Mus musculus: one gene and its partner. The main gene of each other region encodes a partner of the protein of the gene in region 2 in a complex. Links are inferred from orthologs where the notes say so. Each region holds a gene or a part of one and is shown on either strand. Other genes may lie near its edges.

What was found. Proteins that work in one complex are often made in the same cells at the same time.
Region 1: Lamtor4 (region 2) and Lamtor2 share a complex: the UniProt entries of both Homo sapiens proteins name them as parts of the ragulator complex. The link is inferred for Mus musculus from reciprocal best matches to the Homo sapiens genes LAMTOR4 and LAMTOR2.

What each region holds. Positions count from the first base shown.
Region 1 is NC_000069.6:88,546,507-88,556,594, reverse strand, and holds Lamtor2 (ragulator complex protein LAMTOR2), read left to right. Parts: upstream 1-3,643; 5' UTR 3,644-3,731; coding exon 3,732-3,799; exon of another isoform or gene 3,800-3,865; intron 3,866-4,077; coding exon 4,078-4,240; coding exon of another isoform or gene 4,241-4,261; exon of another isoform or gene 4,262-4,365; intron 4,366-5,809; coding exon 5,810-5,899; intron 5,900-6,590; coding exon 6,591-6,647; 3' UTR 6,648-6,776; downstream 6,777-10,088. Other genes in the region: Ubqln4 (ubiquilin-4), read right to left, coding at 603-805, 1,106-1,257, 2,683-2,790; Rab25 (ras-related protein Rab-25), read left to right, coding at 8,520-8,562. UniProt on the Homo sapiens protein: As part of the Ragulator complex it is involved in amino acid sensing and activation of mTORC1, a signaling complex promoting cell growth in response to growth factors, energy levels, and amino acids.
Region 2 is NC_000071.6:138,252,139-138,262,192, forward strand, and holds Lamtor4 (ragulator complex protein LAMTOR4), read left to right. Parts: upstream 1-3,343; 5' UTR 3,344-3,662; coding exon 3,663-3,665; intron 3,666-4,114; coding exon 4,115-4,195; intron 4,196-6,516; coding exon 6,517-6,634; intron 6,635-6,901; coding exon 6,902-6,999; 3' UTR 7,000-7,257; downstream 7,258-10,054. Other genes in the region: Map11 (microtubule-associated protein 11), read right to left, coding at 8,103-8,256, 8,376-8,569, 8,697-8,851, 9,415-9,578, 9,664-9,746, 10,032-10,054. UniProt on the Homo sapiens protein: As part of the Ragulator complex it is involved in amino acid sensing and activation of mTORC1, a signaling complex promoting cell growth in response to growth factors, energy levels, and amino acids.

The DNA.
Region 1 (10,088 bases), on a different chromosome or scaffold from region 2:
CAAGATAGACCCTAATTGCTTCTGACATGTCCCTCCCTCTTCAGTCACTCCCACAACTCCAGGAAAGAGACCTCTATAAAGGCAGGGGGCAAGCTAAGCATAGCATTGAACAGAAGTAGACCCACCTTTCTCCATTCCCCTCTTTACCCAGGACTCCCCTCCCCCAACGCCATCTTTCCTTTTGTTCCTGAACTTGAGTCCATCTCTGAAATCATGGAAACCATCATAAGGGCTGGTGAGATGGCTCAGTGGGTACGAGCACCCGACTGCTCTTCCAAAGGTCCAGAGTTCAAATCCCAGCAACCACATGGTGGCTCACAACCATCTGTAAGGAGATCTGACTCCCTCTTCTGGAGTGTCTGAAGACAGCTACAGTGTACTTACATATAATAAATAAATAAATCTTTAAAAAAAAAAAAAAAAACCATCATAAACCGATCATTCATTCCCCACCCCAGCTTGGCTTAAGTTCCAACATCTGGAAGAGTGACTACGGTCATGGGACTAGGACTAGGGATCAGGGACCATTCTTCTTCTTTATCTTTGTGCACCCCACTCCCCTGGCCAATACAAAATTATGCTCTCCCCCGCTAAAGGCTTACAGAGGATCGATGCAGTAGCACTTGAGGGCCCCTCTGCAGCCACTGGAGAGGGCCCCCCTCCACTGCCAGCATCTGAAGTTGTATTGCCAGAGCTGCAGGGCTGGACAGGGGCGGCGGCAGGTGAGGCAGGCGTGGTGGAGGGTGCAGAGGCAGAGTCAGGAGTGGATGGAGGAGAAGCAGCAGCAGTCACTGGATCTTGAGCCCTGAGGACAAAGAGTAGGGAAACCTGGCTGGAGTGTGCACAAGTGACAAGGTGGCCTTGGACTGACAGCTCAAGCCACCTCCTAAGCAGCCTTGTTCCACCCTTACCCCAGGCTAGCAGGATGCTGGGGAGAGGGATGGTATCAGTTATCAACAGTCTCTAAGGCAACCTGGGAGTACTGACAGGCTCCCCCAGAGGTAAGACCTTATCCATCTGTGCCAGGCCTGGCTGCTGAACAGGTGAGAAAGAATGGGAGGTGAGGTCACAATCAGGAGCAAGGGCAGCTCCTGTCTGTACTTACTTCTGAGGGGTTTTGATGACTAGGTGGACTGTGAGCCCATCCTTGATGCCGTGCTGGCTCAGGGTGTCCCCATCCTTGAGGATCTTGCCTGCGAAGATCAGGACCAGCTGATCCTGCTGAGCCTTAAACCTCCGGGAGATCTCCTCCTTGAACTGTGGTCAAGAGGCAGAGATCACTGCAGAGGCCAACTGCGCCCCGCTGCAAGACTTGACCCTCAGTTCTGCCCCTCTAGCTACAAGAATCCATTCAATTAGTTCCATGACACAGTATCCCAACCCTGGAAAGCCCCTGCTGCTATCCACAACAGCAGCTTCTGTCCCACCACCCAATTCTCTGAAAGTGATACCTCACAGAGGCATGGGCAGCCCTCCCCATCCTAAATCCTTCAACTAGCCTTGGGCTCAGGCTGTCTCTCTTCAGCCTTCTCTCTGCTTTTCAGTCCCAGCTTCCTCATCACTATAACAGATAATCTAGAGTATTATTGAGATCTATTGAGGAATCTAGTGTGTTAGTTACCATCTCTACTTAATTAAATTAATTAAATTTAATTAATTAATTAATTAATTAAGAGACAGGGTCTCTGCATGTAGCTCTTGCTGTCCTGGAACTTTCTATGTAGACCTCGAACTCAGATAGATCCACCTGCTTCTACCTCCCCAGGGCTGGGAATTTAAAGATAAGGATCAGAGAAGAGGTAATGTATCCGGGGATATAGGAACTCAGGTCTGGACATCAATGTCTTCATCAGACACATTCTCAATAAGAGCTGTTTTATAATTCAGCTTTTCCCAGGGGACTTAAAATTCTCTAATGAGAGAGCAGCAGTGGTACCAACGGCTACACTGGGGCGAGTTAAATTTTCTAGATTCTATCAGCTCCTCCAAAACACAACACAACACAACACATATTCTAACTATAAACAGTGCACTTGCTAAGCAAAAGATCCCTCTCTTCCAACCAGATGGCCTATTCTAAGCCCCGCCTATGTGCAATTCTGGAGCAGCTTCAAGCAGTGGGGAACACAGGCAATACTCCCTCACTCATTCTATATTATTTTGTTGAGCACCTACTGCGCTCAGCAAATCCTGTAGAGCAGAAAACTGAACTACACAACCGTTTCGATTTGCGACAAGGAGGCTCTGTGGAGAGAGAGAGAGAGGGAGAGAGAGAGAGAGAGGGCACCACCACCACGCGACACTCCCGGGAGAGCATAGCCGCAGCTCGCTCGGGCCGCACGGTGCCTTAGCGCCTGGAACCTCTACCAGTGACCCTGGAGCACACTCTCCTCAAGCCTAGGCTCCAAATGGAGCCCGCAAGCAAGGTGTCCCTTCCTCAAGCTCCCCCACCACGCCCCCAGCCCGGGTAGCGCGGCCAAACCGGCCCCTACCCGCGCCACGCTCCCCGGACTAGCCCTGGCAGGGCGCCCCCTACCCGCTTCTCCCGCCTGTATGCCCCTGGATTCCGCCCCGGCCGGGGGCCCGTCCCCGGCGCCAGGCCGACCCCGAGGTCTCCCTCTCTGCTCTGACCCCCTCGGTGCGCTGCTCCCGCCCTCCTGTCTCCTCCCAGCCAGATACTACCTCCTTGACCGAGGCTTGATCGCAGATCACGATCTCCTCCTTGTCCTTGGGGGTCTTGACGGTGACCCGAATCTGGGGCCTCGTCTCAGCCCCACTCGGCTCCGCCATGCCGCCGCCCGGCCGCCCGCCAGCCCGTCCGGCTCCTCCTCCTCCTCCTCCCGGCCCGCCCGGCCCGGCCCGACTCCGGGGCCTCCAACTCCCCCTCCCGCCCCTCCCCAAGGCTCCGCCGCCCACTCCGGACAGCCGCAGCCACAGCGCCCCGGGCGGCCTGGGGGAGCACTGCAGCTGGGGCGGCCCAGGCCCGAGCAGGGTGCGCAGCTGGCCCGGGCCGGACAGCGCGGAGGGCGGGAGATTCAGGGCCGCCTGCGGCTCCCTCCTGTTCGGACAAAGGACTTTCGTTGTCGCCGTCTTATCTCCGTTCCCTGGGGTCACTTGGTTTTCTTGAGAGGCCTGGGTTCGTTCCTGGTTCAGGACGTCCTTAAGACCTCTGCGGATTCGAGCAGTCGTGGCCTCCGGGGAACCGCCCCGAGGGAGCCATTAAGGACGGTTTCAGAGACCTGGAGTTTGCCTACGTGGCTTCTCTGAGCCTTGGGAGTAAAAGAGCAAGACCCCACAGAATTGTGACTAGCGTACAATATTGCTTTAAAAAATGGTCAAGGATGTGCCTAACAGATAGATTTATTATTAGATTGCGATTGACCAGTAGGCACGAAGGCGTCCTTCGCGTGGAAGATGTTAAAAGTATTTCCACCGTTGCCACTGTCCTTGCGCTCCCGCTCTCCCCCCCCCCAACTCCACAACCACATGGTCCCACTGGAACGCTGAACTATGGTTCCCAGAATTCCTTGAGCGATCACATGAAACTACGATTCCCAGAGGCCCTCGCGCGGGGCGGGAATTGGGCCAGAGCCTCAGTAGATGGGCCCGGTGACTACAACTCCCAGGCGCCTCGTAGCTGGGCTCCTGGGCCACCGGAAGCGACTGAGGGAGAGCAAGAGGCTGCGACTGTAGGGGTGTGTTGGTGCAGGTCAGGGTTAAGAGACGCAGGCATGCTGCGTCCCAAGGCTTTGACGCAGGTGCTAAGCCAAGCCAACACTGGAGGAGTCCAGAGCACCCTGTGAGTGAACAAGAACCCAAGCAGCGAGCGCTGGAATGGGGCGGCGCGCGGCTGTCTGCAGTAGGGGTAGGGAAGAGCCCTACGCCGGGAGGTGGCTAATGTTGCAAGCTGCAGCTTCGGAAACCCTGCTTGAGGGCTTCCTCGGAAAGGGAAATGGACAGTTGATTAGCGTGTTCCTGGATTCTTGCTTCCTAAAAGCGCCAGTAGCTGGAATTGGGATAGGAACTCAGACCTTTCACTCTTCCTGAGTTTGTTGATATCCTTCCCATTCTTGCCAGGCTGCTGAATAATGAGGGATCGCTGCTGGCCTACTCCGGTTATGGGGACACAGATGCCCGGGTCACTGCGGCCATCGCCAGTAACATCTGGGCCGCGTATGATAGGAACGGGAACCAAGCGTTTAATGAAGACAGTCTCAAATTTATCCTGATGGACTGCATGGTATGGAGTAAAGTAGGCTGACTTCGAACTTGCAATGATTATCCTGCTTCTGCCACCTCAACCCTGAGATTGCAGGTGTGCACCATCGCACCTTGCCAAATAAAACATAGATATTAAAAAAGGAAGTGAGAGTACGGTGCTGGCCTATGTGAGGGTCCATCTCAGTGAAAAGGAGACATTTGTTAAAAGATCCGAAGGACGATAGGAAAGGGGAAGAGAATTAAGCCATACAGCAATCATTTGGGGAAATATTTCTAACAGTGCTTGCTATGGTGGCTTATGCCTCTAGTTCAGTACACGAGAGACTGAGGCAGGCTCTCTTCGAGTATTTGTTTTCTTTCTTTCTTTTTCTTTTTTTGTTTTTCGAGACAGGGCTTCTCTGTGTAGTCCTGGCTGTCCTGGAACTCACTCTATAGAATCAGGCTGAACTCTGAAATCTGCTAGCTTCTGCCTCCCAAGTCCTGGGACTAAAGGTGTACACCACCACCGAGCAGACTTTGCAAGTATTTCTGACAACAGCAATTGCAAAGGGCCGAGGGCGGAGTGAGGCTTGGACAAAGATCAGTAAAGATGGAGCATCACAGAATGGGAAAAGGTTGTCGGGAGAAAGGGCTAAAGTCCTCTGAAGAGTGGCAGTGTGCAGAACTGAAAAAGGTGTTTGCAGTGGGGAAGGCCCCTTGGGAAGCTCTTCACTGTCATGCTGGCAGCCCATTCTTTACACCCACTCTCATTCACACTGGGTACTGAGTCCAGGGCTGGTGTCACTGCAGCCTAGCTAAGCTCTAAGAAATGCTTTTTAAGGGACAGATGTGGAGCTCAGTGGTAGAGCAGTTGCCTAGAGTGTTTGGGATTCTAGAACCCATTCCAAGAAACACAGTTTTTATTTTTGAGTCAGAGGCTAGTATACACACTGGAGCAAGTTCTGTGAAACATCACTTCTCTCACATAGATGTGCCATGACATTTTTATTGTTATTTTCAAATGTTGACCCACCCTAATTGATCCCCATTTTGAAAAGTTACACCATAGGAAAAGAAGAGACATAAGTTGGGTTGTGTGTGTGTGGGGGGGAGTTGTTTTTACCTTTTTAAGGTTTGTTTTATTCTGTATGTATGAGTTGCTTTGCCCAGGTGGTATATATGTGCCCCATGTGCATGCATGATGCCCCCAAGGAGGCTGAAAGAAGGCATTGGAGCCCCTGAACTGCTGTTATAGATGATTGTGAGCACAGTGTTGGTGTTGGGATTCGAACTCAAGCCTACTGCCAGAGCAGCATACGAGTTGGGTTCCTGGTCCTGACCTGCTGAGACAGTTCTCGGCATTAGAGAAGAGAACCCCAAGTTCTGGAAGACTTGGTTTCCCAGGATAGCTTGGTTAGCACATGGCTCAGCTGAGGCTGGAATCCAGTTTCAGACCCCCATGTCTTAAATGCTGGGCAGAGCTCCTAGCTGAACTTCCTGCTCTGCTAAGCTTGGGAGACAATGTCACTAGGACCAGAGGAACCCTGGGGAAGGCAGGAACTAAGGATGTCAAGCAGAATGCCCCAAAGTATCATGTCCTTCCCACCAGGAGGGCCGTGTAGCCATTACGAGGGTGGCCAACCTTCTGCTATGTATGTATGCCAAGGAGACCGTAGGCTTCGGAATGCTCAAGGCTAAGGTGAGTATATTCCTCTGTTATAAACTTTCTGGGCTGTAACATCTATGCATGCCCTTGCTCTGAATAAAGGACATGGAGACTTTAATTAGGTTTATTATGAGCTTTGGGCACTATAGCTGGGCAGATTCTCAACTATTCTAACCCAACCATATTGGCTTGGCCTATGTCCATGACCCATTACCTGTCCATCTTAGTCATGTCCTGGTACCTGCTTCCTCATCTTTGTCCAGCTGGCAACTCCTCTCCCAGAATTCCTATCTCTTCCTGGAAGTCCCACCTCCTACTTCCTGCCTTTGCTTTTTAATAAGCTGATCAAAAGGTGAGCGAGAGTGTTTACAAAATATGTAGCCAAATGAAACCAAATGAACCAAAGTCCAGTCTGCATTAAACTCTGCTGGCACAGAAATCGGCATTTGAATAATAATACAAAGATGATCTTTACATAGGGCGCAATATCATCATCCCAGCACTGATCCAGCCTTAGTTCCTGTTCACTGTGTTCCTTACATGTCCCTCCCCTCTCTGGAGTTCTCATAGCTCCTCACTCCATGTCTAGGATGGGCTAAAGAGCAGTGGGGGTGGGCTGGGGGGGGAGTTGGCTGCTAAGTGTGGCGTGGGGAGCCAGCGTGGTTCAGGGATCCGTCTAAGCATAAGCGATGCATGGACTGACTGTGCTCCTGCCTCCTTGCAGGCCCAGGCCCTGGTGCAGTACCTGGAGGAACCCCTCACCCAAGTAGCAGCATCATAACAGCGTGATGGAGGCTGGAGTAGAAAAGGGATGATGATCTGGAGGGAGGGGCGGGGCCCTAGAAACGCCATATCGGGCGAGGTACAGGAAGGGGGGGTTGCTTTTTTCTGAATAAATTTTCAACTCTTACCTGTGTCTCACCTGCTTTCTTGGGAGGAAAGTGTGGAGTGGTTTCCTCGGGAGGATTCCCCTCTCCTGCAAAGGTGGGCTCTCTCATTCCCCATCACCAAATCTCTCAGTGGTTCTTGGCAGGGCTGCCCAGTGCCCTTGGCTTCTCCAGTGCTGTGTCTCATCATACTCCTAATTGCTTTTTTTTTCCATTAATTTATATGTTTATTCTATTTACATTGCAAAAAGCTCCCTTCCCATCCTCCCAGAATTGCTTTTCTTTAAACAATTTGTTTTTTGGTTTTTGTGAGACAGGATTTCTCTGTATAACCCTGGCTGTCCTGGAATTCACTTTGTAGACCAGGCTGGCCTCCAACTCAGAAATCCGTCTGCCTCTGCCTCCCAAGTGCTGGGATTAAAGGTATGTGCCACTACACCCGTGTGAAAAAATTGTTTAGGTTATTTTATGTACATGAGTGTTTTGACTGTTTGTGTGTCTGCACTTGTGCCTGTAAAGGGCATCAGATATCCCTGAAACCAGAGTTAGCAGGTGGCTGTGAGAGAGCTATGCTGAGAACCTAACCAGGGTCTTCTGCAAGAGCAGCGGTGCCCTTAGCTGCTGAGCTCACTCAACCCTCAGAGCAGAATCTCACCCGCCCGTTTTGCAGCACCTGGGACTGATCTAAAGGAGCAAATGCCTGTTCTTGCTGGACACAGAAAATAGAGGTCACCCTTTCTAATTTAAGGAGTGCTCCTGCTCCTTTCCCTACCTTTTCATGATCCTCTCTGCAGCATTTGTTTTAATTTAAAAAAAAAAAAATCGTGTGTGAGCACAGCAGACTCCTCTGCATTGCCTTTACTTATTTACTGTTTGCGTACATGACGCGTGGATAGGTGTGTCCCACATACAAGCATGGCAGTCAGAAGATTGACCCCCAGAAGGCCTCAAGGTCTTCATCTCAGATCCTGCACCCATATTCACCGCATCCAGCTCTTTCTGCCCTTGTCTCTGAGATCCGTCCACGAAGGTAGTAAATCTGTTTATTGTATGTTAGGAAGGGACCCATCTGGGCAGGTGGCGTCCCAGCTCCACCTGTGTGAGAAATGCTGCCCCTCCCTGGCCTGGGGCTGTTAAGGAGGGGCCGGATGCTGCGTGCTGGTACAGCTCCCAAAACTCTGCATTGTGGGGAGATGCTGTGCCCAGCTTGCATTTCTTGCCCTGATAGCCCTTCCCCTGATGCCCCCCGGTATGTGTCCTTACCAAAACCTGAGATGGGAAAGCTGGAGGCCGGTACGTTTCTGCCCCACCCCGTGTCTACTTCAGCCCAGTGGCAGCTCTCCTTCTTAGAACCCCCAAAACCCAGCAATGTACACTCGGGCTCGCCGCAGCCTCACCCACTGTTACCTCTGTGACCAGGCCCTCTTATTTGGGGGAGTGTGGGCCAAGAGCAGACACCTAACCTGTTTAACCTGTCTGACGTCATCATCGCTCCACCCACCTGTGCCCCAGGTGCCCAGCGGAGCTGGCTAGCTCTTCCTGTTCTCAGCTTCCGTCCTCTCAGCTCCCACAGAGTAGCTAAACGTGCCAGAGCTGAGCCTCTGGGGCTCTTCCTGGCCTCAACTGAGCCCTCTTGTCCTTTTCCCCCAATGAGAGAGGAGCCAGGTGCAGGTCTCTTAAAAGCTGAGAGTTGAGGCCATTTAAACAATAAACAGACTCGTGACCTCTGCACCTGCAAACGTCTTCACTCTCCATGCTGAGCCAAGATGGGGAATCGAACAGATGAAGATTATAACTTTGTCTTTAAGGGTAAGTTGGGGTTCTCGAAAAGGGAGACTCCAGAGAGGGTGGGAGAGAGGCTATTTCCAGAGGACACAGGGTCTCCCTTTTATTTTTATCTCTACCTTGGACATTCTCCCCCCACCCGTCCCCAAGCTCAGCATTCCTTCTCCGAGAGAAAGGCCATGAGGAGTAGGCATGTCTGGTTACAGGTACAGATGTTCTGGAGTTGTATGCTCTCTATAAAGATGTGGATAATTTCTCCCTATTGCCAAATTATTCTTCCCTGCCCAGTCTCTAATAGATGCTCAAATCCCTGGGAATGTCAGTGAAGCCCAAGAGATGGAAGTCGGACTTCAGAAAGGACTTTCAGAGTAGAGGGAGAAGCAAGCCTATTTAAGAGGAAGAAAGTCATCTCTACCAGCAGATGCGTAGGAAGGGGTGCGCCCCCCCCCCCACCCCCCACCCCCCACCCCCCCCCCCCCGCAGTCATTGTTGATCTAGGTAGTTGACACATAGGGAAGTTGATACTTAGGTAGTTGATACACCCGGACAATGCATTGACTCTCCAGCCATCTAATGGATTCCACAGGACTCCTGGGCTGCAGCCTGTGCCATGCATGGCCTCTTGTACCACACAATCTTTGGACCCAGATACTAGGCACAGGGTTTGCTGGGCTGTTTCTGACAGTGCACATGCATCCTGCCTGCTTGCTTTCCCTCAGCTCCTGGTGTTTGGTCTCTCTGTGGGTCTCTAGCTCTCCTTCTTGAAGGCTAGGTGGCCTGGTGGCACTCTCCTTTCCTTTGCACCACACCCACAGCCTCTCCCAACCTCAGCCCCACCCTGGCCCAAGCTGGGGAGCCTGTACTCCTGGCATTTTCCCAAGGAATCTGGTGGGGCTGTGGCCATGGTATAGTAACTCCCGTTTGTTGAGGCCCTACTGGGTGCCACTCTCACACACTCATCTTACAGCCCTGGTGTGAGCTATCACCGTGAGTGGTTGCATGGCCTCTCTGCCACTTACCAGTTAGCTCAGATGGGGTCCCAGTGCCACTTCTGAGAAGTGTCGGGTATTCTGTAATGATTATAAGCCACCACATGTGAAGATAAGCAGGAGGAAGCAGGACTAGGCAGAGGATAGTCACCTGCCTGCCATGAGAGAGAGCTCAGAGCTACTCAGGGAACAGGGAGCTTTGGAGTAGCCTTGGAACACTGTCCCTGGGGTACCACATGGAGCTGTCCAGAGAGGTTTGACATCCCCATGTCCGTGAGGGCTCACCTGTGAGCTGTCACTGCTACTGCTTTCCTCCCTGCAATGAGGGGGCGGGGCAGATCCTTCCCCGAAGGTAGAGGTGAGCAGCACATCTATGTTTAGAGCAGTGTGATAGACCTACTAGCTGGGTGCCTTCCTTGTCTATAAAAATGGGCATGGTGGCTGGGCGGTGGTAGTGCAGGCCTTTAATCCCAGCACTGACGAGGCAGAAGCAGGTGGATCTCTGAGTTCGAGGCCAGCCTGGTCTACAGACTGAGTCCCGGGACAGCCAGGACTATACAG
Region 2 (10,054 bases):
GGAGCCACATACCTGCAATCCCAGCACTAGGGAGGCAGAGGCAGGAGTATCTCTGAAAGTTTCTGCCTGGTCCACAGAGTGAGTTCCAAGACAGCCAGGGCTACAGAGAGAAATGCTGCCTTGAAAAACCAGCATACTAGGCTTGCTGATGTGAGGCCCCTAACACATATACAGCAGAGGACGGCCAGGTCTGGGTTGTCAGAGAAGATTCACCTAACCCTCAAGAGACTGGAGGCCCCAGGGAGTGGAGTGGTTTGGTGAGGTGGTGGTTGGGGAGGTGGGGACATCCTTGTGGAGACAGGGGGTGAGGAGGAGGTATGGGATGGGGAACAGTCACAGGGTAGACCAGGAGTGGTATAAAATCTGGAGTGTTTAAAAAAAAAAAAAACCATTCTGAGTTCGAGGTCAGCCTGGTCTACAAAGTGAGTTCCAGGACAGTCAGGGCTACACAGAGATACCCTGTCTCAAAAAAAGAACAACAACAACAACAACAACAACAACAACAACAACAAAAGGAATAGAGAACATCTTAGGTCAAGAGAGACAAACAGCCGGGCGGTGGTGGCGCACGCCTTTAATCCCAGCACTTGGGAGGCAGAGGCAGGCGGATCTCTGGTTCGAGGCCAGCCTGGTCTACAAAGTGAGTTCCAGGACAGCCAAAGCTATACAGAGAAACCCTGTTTGAAAAAACAAAACAAAACAAAAAAAGAGGGACAAACAGCATCCCTCCCCCAGCCTGGGGAACTGCTAGTATCTATTACTCTAACTACCTCTCACCAAGCTAAATGCTTAGGTTCAACATAAGTAAACTACTGGGGCTAGAGAGAAGGCTTTAGTAGGTTTGATTCCCAGCAATATTGTGATGGCTCACAACCATCTGTAACTCCAATTCCAGAGAATCTAATCCCTTCGTCCAACCTCTTTAAGCCTTGCATACAGGTGGAGCACATGAATACAAACAAAATGTGCATGCACATACGGTCAAGTTAATATATCCATTTTTTTCCCAAATTACCAATGTCCAAGCTTGCCTGCAGGCATGGAGGCTGAAGAGATGGCTTGGTGCTGTGAGTGTTTGCTGCTCTTGCAGAGCACCCCAGTTAGATGAGTAGCTTAAAACTCCCTGTAACTCTTGTTCCCATGGAAACAATGACCTCTTCTGGCCATCATGGGCACCTGCACGCAGATGGCATATACTCACACAGATACTCAAAGCTACACAAAATAAAAATAAAAATAAAAATAAAGCAGGGCATGGTGGCACAGGCCTTTAATCCCAGCACTATGGAGGCAGAGTCGTGTGGATCTCTGAGTTCAAGGCCAGCCTGGTATTAAAATATTAAAGTCCAGCAATCAAAAGCCTCCCTTTGGTCACCTTAATTATCATGTCTAATCAAAACAAAGCAACTCATTCTATCACAGGTTTCTTATTTTACTTTTATAAACTGCCATTTGCCTAAGGACCATGCCTGTCTCCACTTTATCCAGAGGTAGTCACTTTGTCTGGAGCAAATATTTCTTTCCCCTCTCCCTTGTCTTCTATCCACACTCTTTGTCCCTCTGGAGCAAATAAATCTCTCCTTTGTGTTGGGAACTTGGTCCTGGTGTGTCCTGTGCAAATTCCAGTCTTTTCAAACAGAACATCAAAAGCAAAAATCTTGTACCTGTCAGTGAATGGTGGAGCACACCTTCAATCATAGAACTTCAGAGGCAGAGGCCAGAGGAGCTCTTTGGGTTCTAGGCTAGCTTAGTCTACATTAGTGATATTCTGTCTCAAGAATGACCAATCAACCAACCAACCAACCAACCAACCAACCAACCAACCAACCAATTAAGCCAACAAGCAAATTGCCCTTGACAACAGCTGCCAGGTAAACCATTTCCAACAGAGATCCCCAGGGCTCACGCATGGTAAAAAAGTTCCTGCAATGTTATAGAGAAGCTGAATGCTCAGTCATGGTGTGAAAACGTAATCCAGAACTCCAGCTAGCAACCTCAGCCTCTCCAGGTTGGTTTTGGATGGATGTCTGTAAGCTCCCAATTTCATGATTTCTGTTCTTTTACTTAGAAGCCTTCCCTGAAGAAACTCTCTGCTCTGCCCAGAACTCTGTCTGTTCGTAGTTGTCTTAAAGGGACTTCCTCAGGTAGTTTTGGCTGGATACTTGGATACTTGAGTACCTGATTTGATGGAAATTGATGTGCTTCTCTCTCTCTCTCTCTCTCTCTCTCTCTCACTCACTTTATAAAGTCACTCGTTCAAAATAAAAATTGTGGCTACTGTAGACCATTCTCTGGATTGTACAAAGCAGCTGTTGATATTTGTATACCCACTTCAGAGCAATGGTGCCAAGCACCTTTGCCCGCTGAGCCACTTTGCCAGCCCTACTTCAATTTTTTGGTCATGATGATTGAATCTGGGGCCTATGCATGCTAGGCAAGTTTTGAAACGATAGCTACAGCCTTGCCTCATTTTCTCTAATTAGCTGCTGCTTCTACAAGATGATTTGGGGTGGACGACTTTCTTTGTTTAGTGCTGTGGGTACAGACCCACACCCAGTATGCATAAGGCCCTGACTTTGCTTCTTGGCACTGAAAATAAATGGGGTGGGGGATATAATTCACTAATTTAGTGTACAACTTAGTAACTTCGGCACATTCACAAAGATATGCAGACTTCAATATGAATTCCAAAAAGCTTAAATCACATGCCCTGCCATACCCTCATTAATAAGCACTTCCTATTTTTTCTTGCCCCACTACCAACTAGTAATTGCTTTCAGTTTTTCTGTATTTGCAAGAAGTGTATGTGTTTTAATCAGGATCTTGGTAGGTAGCTCAGGCCTCAGTCTGGCACTGAACTCCCTATTCAGCCCAATCCTCGGCCTCTCAGGCTTTAAACTAGGATTACAAGCATTCGGCAATAGTCACAGCTAAGCGTCTTACATAGATGGGACCACATAATATATAGCCTTATGAACCTGCCCTTTCACAACCCGTCCTTTTGGTTGGGTCTGAGCCTCTGAAGGCTGAGTGGTCTCTGAAGCCATCTCCCTGGCCTGCTTTCTCTTGTTTTGGAGATTCTCAAGCTGCATTTGGTGTCAGGACATTATCATCTTGTATTGATCTTACACTACTGTGTGTACACAGCAAATTTGATTTACTCATTCATAGCCATATTTGGGCCGATCCACTCTTAACACATATACTCAAGGCAGAAAGTTAACACGTGAACAGCTTTTCACGTGTAAACCAAACCATCGTCTTTCACATTGGTACATTAGTTTCTCTTTTCAGGTTGAACAGTGACACCTAAGACTCCTCTTACATCACCGGACTGTTCTACTTTCTTCTTGGAAGCCACCGGCAGATGCATATTCCTATTGCAAAGGATAGAAGCAGTGCACGTTCGTGTGGCGACACTGCCCCGCGACTCTCCGGACAACTCTCGCAGGCAAATCCTGAGGGGCGGGGAAATGCAACCAATCCACGAATGTGTTCGGAAAGCGGGGCTCCGCAGTGGTTGATAAAGTATAATGACATACCCGCCATCCAATCCTCAAGCGAAGGGCTGGGCTACAGTCAGCTGGTGAAACCACCTGACCCGAGCCTGGAGCCGGAAACTACCTATCCGGCAGACTGCTTACACTGCACCTACGGCTGCGATGGTGAGTGTGGACGCATGCGCGGGTGTGCACGCCTGCGGTTCCGCGTCCCTGTTTTCCGAGCTTCTGTTGCCACCTTATGGCTTGCATTTCACTGTCACCTCCAGTCCACCCTGGGACCGAAAGGGAACAGAGATGGGAGGGAAGCGACAGGGAGGGCTGGAGAAGGAAGGCTCCGCTACCGGGTGTTCTGCAGCGGGGGAGTAGTCTAGATGGCACAAGGGGCGGGGCATAAGGGGACTGGAGTGGGAAGGGACATGAGGAGGGGTTGAGGGGCTAGGAAGGCCTCCTGGGTCACCTACATGACAAGTGGAAGAGCTCAGAGGTCCAATAGTGACCGTGGATGGAGACTCAGTGTTACAAGCCATTATGAGGGCCTTGGAAGGCTCATATCCAGGAGGGAGATGGGTTTGCAAGGCTGTCATGATTCTCCTTGTCTCTTTACCCTCTAGACTTCCGCACTGACCCAAGGGCTGGAGCGAATCCCAGACCAGCTTGGCTACCTGGTGCTGAGCGAAGGTGCAGTGCTGGCGGTGCGTTGTGGGAAAGCAAAGCGTGGGGTGGAGGGTGTGTGTGTGTGTGTGTGTGGGGGGGTCCTTTGGGGACACACAGCCCAGAAATCCCTTCAAATATTTCCAAGTTGTCTCTTTTTGTCTTCTCTGTGGTTCCTTGCTTGCCATATAGTAAGCTTTATGTAGTATTTGGATATGTGGTATAAAAGCTAATTACCAAAAGGTTGGGGAGGTAGCTTAGTACGGAGAATGAGTTGCCTAGCATGCACAGAGCCTTCTCTTCAATCCCAATACTGCATAAAACCAAACAGAGTGTAGTCCCAGCACTTGGAAGGTGGAAACAGTGGGTTAGATGTTCAGGCTTATCTTTGGCTACATATCAAATTCAATCACAACCTGGACTACATGTAACTCAGCCTCAAAAAACAACAAACAAACCATTACCCAAGTTATACAATTAGTTAGTTAGTTGTAGTTTGTTTTTATTTGTTAAATTCTTGTAGGGACGCACGTATGGGTGCCACAGGGGGTGAAAGTTCGAGGACACTTTGGAGTGAATTCTCCTGCCATGTGGGTCTTGAGGATTGAACTCAGGTCATCAGGCATTGAGGCAAGCACTTTTATGCTCTGATCCATTTTTGCCTGCCTCTAGAATTTTGGGGGGTGAGGTGGGGTGGGGTGGGGGCAAGACTTCTCTAGAGGCAGGAATTGAGCTACGCTGCAAGGGCAGAAAATTGTGAAAGAGAAAAGAACCCTCAGGGTTGGGAGCCGGGCATGCTTGCCTGAGTGTGCCAGTGCCCGAGTTGGCCGTGGTTTTGTGTTGAAACCATTTGAAGAGGAAGGATGCTGTGGTAAGACTGATACTGAACTTCCTGCGGCTAGCTTCAACATCTTTCGACAAATCTTGAGGGTTAAAGGGTTTTAAAACAACTGTGACTCACAGAAATGGTGTAGCACAAGTGTCCCAGGAGAGCCATATAAGCAGGAAACTGGACTGGTAGCAGTGAGGAGCAAGGACAGAAGACATTTTAGCTTATGTTTTTAGTGCCTGCACGGGTGTGTGCCCATGCATGTGCTGAAGCCATTGTAGGGCATTAGAGACCCACTCTCACCACTCTCTCTGCCTTATTCCTTAAGGCAGGGTCTCTGAACCCGTACCTAGACTGGCGGCCTTGAGCAAGCCTCAGCAGTCCACATGGCTGTACACCCACAGTGCTGGGATTCCAGGTGTGAGTGTGGTCATTCCTGACGGATTTGAACTCAAGTCCTCTTGCTTGTACAGCAAAAACTCTTATCCACTGAGCCACCCCCACAGCCCAGAGATAATTACTAGGTAAAGTACTTCTACATGTACTCTACCTTTCTGAAGTACTTATCCAGTAGGACTCTGAACAGGGGAAACCAGAAAAATACTATGGTACCTGAACAAATAAGACATCAAGAAAGGAAGCTGACCAAGGAGGTAGCTAAGGAGAATTTTGATGGCCTGACTGTAGACACCGAGTGAGATGGAATGCTATCGGTTGTAGTACATTTATTATGTAGGCACTGTTATGTTTTCATTGTTTTCTCATGAGACTTTCACAAGCGCAGAATATAGGCCCAGTATACAGCTGGAGATACCGAGAGCAAAAGGAACTAAATCTAGTTAAGGACCCATTTAGAAGCGGTGGGAAGAGGATGTTGAAACAGTCTGTTCTACTGTCCAGAGGACGTCTGGACTACTGTCTTGTTATTTGCCCAAGGGTTAGCCAGAGGGAAAACTTTAAAGACAAAGTGGGTGTTTCTGCTTCATAGCCTACAGACAGGACAAGTGGGAAGACTGAGTAACAGGTAGAACCTTCAAAGACTGAGCAGTTAGCTCAGTGATATAACATCTGCCTAAAATCCTTCGTGAGGGGCTGTGGGCGTGGCTCAGTAGTAAAACACTTGCCCAGGAGTCTCCCACTGAGGCGCTGGGGGTGTGGCTCAGTGGTAGAGCCCCTGCCTAGAATCCCCCAGTGAGGGGCTGGGGTGTGGCTCAGTGGTAGAGCCCCTGCCTAGAATCTCCCACATGAGGGACTGGGGACCTGATCACTTGGTGATCATACTCTAGGTTTTGACCCCTCACATGGCTATCAAATGAAGCCTGGCATTTCAGAATGAGAAACAAGATGGCACAAGGAAAGACAGCACCATCATAAAGGGGTTGTAGGTGGTATTTTTCTGAAGCTGGGTAATTTGGGACTACGGGCAAGTATAAAGGGAGATCATAAGTATAGGAGGCAGAGGTCCTGTGCCTTGAATTTGTTCCTAACTCTGATGTCTGTCTTTTGCTCCTACCCTCCTTCATCCACACACAGTCATCTGGGGACCTTGAGAACGATGAGCAAGCAGCCAGTGCCATCTCGGAGTTGGTCAGCACAGCCTGTGGCTTCCAGTTGCACCATGGCACGAACATCCCTTTCAAACGCCTGTCTGGTGAGCTCCTGCCTTTGGTGGGGGGGTTTCTTTTAGCGGCCTCACTGCTCAGGGAAGGAATTCCTGGCTCCATTCCACCAACTCCCACTTCCTCCTGTAGTCCCTGGTTCAACTACTGCTTTCATACTAGGTCCCTCTAGGATGAGTACAGAGCAATAAGGACAAGGGGTTGCTTTGTCCTATGCCAATTCTTTTTTTTTTTTTTTTTTTTGTGACCCTCCTTGGTGACCACTGTACCCACTAACTCCTGCTCCCTTCCCTCTGCAGTGGTCTTTGGTGAACACACGCTGCTGGTGACTGTGTCAGGACAGAGGGTGTTTGTAGTGAAGAGGCAGAACCGAGGTCGTGAACCTATTGATGTCTGAGCTATAAAAGGCACGGGCTGGAGAAGAAGCCTGCCTCTGGGGCCTGTCCCCGGGGTGTGGGGGTGGGGAAGCATACCACCTTCTGCTGTCCTTGCTGGAGTTGGGCTTGTGCTCACTACCTCCTTCCTGACCCCCCACCTGAGCGAGGCACCAGGCTTAAGAGACTTCTACGCTAAGGGACTAGGGGAACTATGACTAGGGGGACCCCTTTTCTTCCCTTCTGCCTAATAAACACTAGTCCAACCTGTCTAGGGCTCAGGATGTGTGCACAGAATGGTTTGTCTGGGTGGGGGTGAGGTTACACCTTGTGCCTATCATCGACTTTCTAGGGAGACAGCTATACCTCAGTCAGTGGGCCAGGATCACCACCAGGCATCATAAAACTGACAACTGGAGACAGGTGCGATGGTGCACATCTGTAAGTAAAACTAGGAACCAGAGAAGCATACATACATAGGAAGGCAGCTGTTTGCAAACTGAAGACCATCTCCCTCGTGGTCAACACACAGACAAACTCATACTCCCTCCCAAACAGCTTTTAATAGTTTTACTTCAGCTGGAAGATGTAGTCAGAGAATAAGTTACAGGAACAGACAAAAACAGAAAACAAAAACAGAACTTAAAGTGCTTCAGGCTGCCAACGTAAACATGAGGGGCAGAAAGAGGCCATCCAACCCCTGAGACAGGAGAGTCATTGTCCTGGGTCCCTTTACCACTACCACCCTCTAATCTCAGCCCTGCGGGTGAGTGCAAAGGAACAGCAGCGGCAGTGGCAGGGAGGCTTGAACACGAGTGAGAGAGGATACTCTGTAAACTGGACGAAGGACAGGACAAGGGAGCTCCCGCAGCCCTTGCCCTGCTGGGGTGGGGCCAGCCCTCCCCTCGCGCACCCCCCCCCCCCCGAACTTATGGAATACTGTTGTCTGAGCTGCAGCCACACTGTGATTTCACAGCTTCTGCCCTCATCCCTCACCAGCAGACACAGACAGGCAGCCCTGCAAGGCCTCTCTGCCCACAGTGGGAGGTACAGCCTAGGAACAAGGGACCCTCTGGGGCTTAGGGTTTCTGGCGTGTCCTGTCCGGGGTTGAGCTAGCAAACGGTGCTACTTGACGGGCTCCACCACCAGGACTTTACACTCACGCTTGGCAATCTTATCAAGAGAAAGCACAGCCTTGTCGGGGGGCAGGTAGAGGGGACGGCCGACGGGAGAGGCCACAGGGGGTGTGATGGCCCTGCGTTCCATCACACTGCCTGACCTGGAAGAAGACAGAGGCTGTGGGCTGGCTCTGTGAGAGTATAGCATCCCACTAAGTGGCCTGCTCCTGACCCCAACTCCCAACTCTTGGTCAGACTGATAGCAATCCTAGTCCCTTACCTCATGAGGTGGCTACGGGAAGGCTGCTGGTGGGAGAAAGATTGAGAACGGCCCAGGCTGGCCTGGTGTCTCTCCACCAGGTCTCGGACAGCAGGACTGCTGGGGCTGCTCTTTCGGGACAGGGGCCGGGCTTCAGGCGGAGGGTGGGACACGCTGGCAGTGAACTGCAGCTTCAGTTTCATGTGCTGGCTCAGCTGGATAGGAAGATGCGGACCTCAGACCCACCCTTCCCTGTGCCCAGCCTTCTAGTGCTACCTAAGACGTTAGCTAACCCCTCTAGAAGCAAGAAGCCTCGACTATTCTACCCAACACTGGGCCCACCTCAAAGAGCCCCGTCCTCAGGGCCTGGAAGGCCACACTGAAGGTAAGCGCGCTGCCCTTCCGGGAGAAGCCAAGATTATTGAGGGGTGTGTGACAGACGATGGAGTCTAGGGCTGCCTGCATGGCCCGGCGCTCCTCCTCACACAGCTGCTTTCCTGGGGACAGAAACACATGCTCATCAACACTGGAAAGCTTGCTTCAGCTCCCACAAGTCTTTATCAGCACATGGAGTGTTTAATTGGCAAAGTGCTTTGCCCGGAGTAAACTGAGTAAATGTTATCTTTTGCCGAGGGTTACAGATAACAACGGTTAATGCTGGGTGCTGTGGTCTGTGCTAACCCAGATGGTGTCTGTTAACTGTTAATATGCATAACAAGCCATGAGATGTTACTTCGTAGTTTTAGAGAGGACAGAAGCTCAGAGAGATGAAGGAACTTTCTCAAGATCACAGAGCTAGTAAGCGTGTGTGTGTGTGTGTGTGTGTGTGTGGTGTGTGTGTGTGTGTGTGTGTGTACACGTGTGTGTGTGTCCACTGCCTACCTCGAGTCTCTGTCTGTGATCCTGGATGACTAGCCAGGTACCCAGGAGAGCCAGCCAGGTACTGCAGGTCACCTATTAAGGTAGGGCTGGCACTACTTGGAAGCTGTTCTCACTGTCCTGCCCTTTCCTTTCCCTGTCCCTCCCAGGGGATAAGGTCTCAGCCTGGCAGGTGACCCACCAGCCTGTGCATGTTCCGGGGTCCACACAAGCCTCACAGCAAGGAAGTCTTGGAGGTTGTTGAGCAGCGTGTAGGTGACAGTGAAACGCTCGTAGGTCCGAACAGGGGACTCACAAGAAGCAGTCATCACAAAGCAGGGGCGGTCTAGGCGGACACTGGGCAGGCTAGGAGCAGTGAGAGAGGAGGCTGGATGTACGTGTTAGGCAGAGGTGAGCGGGAGAGCGCCTGGTGGGTCTCCCACGCACTCACCGGTAGTGGGTGTAAATGCTCTGGGTGAAGGGCAGCTTCGGCGTGGACCACTGAACCACGGCAATCAAGGGGACTTCAAGGCCCTGCAGATGGGACAAAGGGAGACTTGGGATGTTCAGAGGCTCGTGGCCTTTCCCTTCCATTGTGTTTTCTTTGAGCCTAGGACTTCTCTCCAACTGCTCATATAGCTGGGGATGACCTGAGCCTCCTGCTACCTCCCAAGTGCTAGGATCCCAGGCGCAATGCCACTATGCCAGATTTATGCAATGCTGAGGGTAGAACCCTGGACTCTATGCTTGCTAAGCAAGCACTCTACCAACCCAACAGTTCCCACAGTGGTCGTCACTTCTGTGATCACACCAGCTCACCTCCTTGGCCCCAGGAGGGGGCT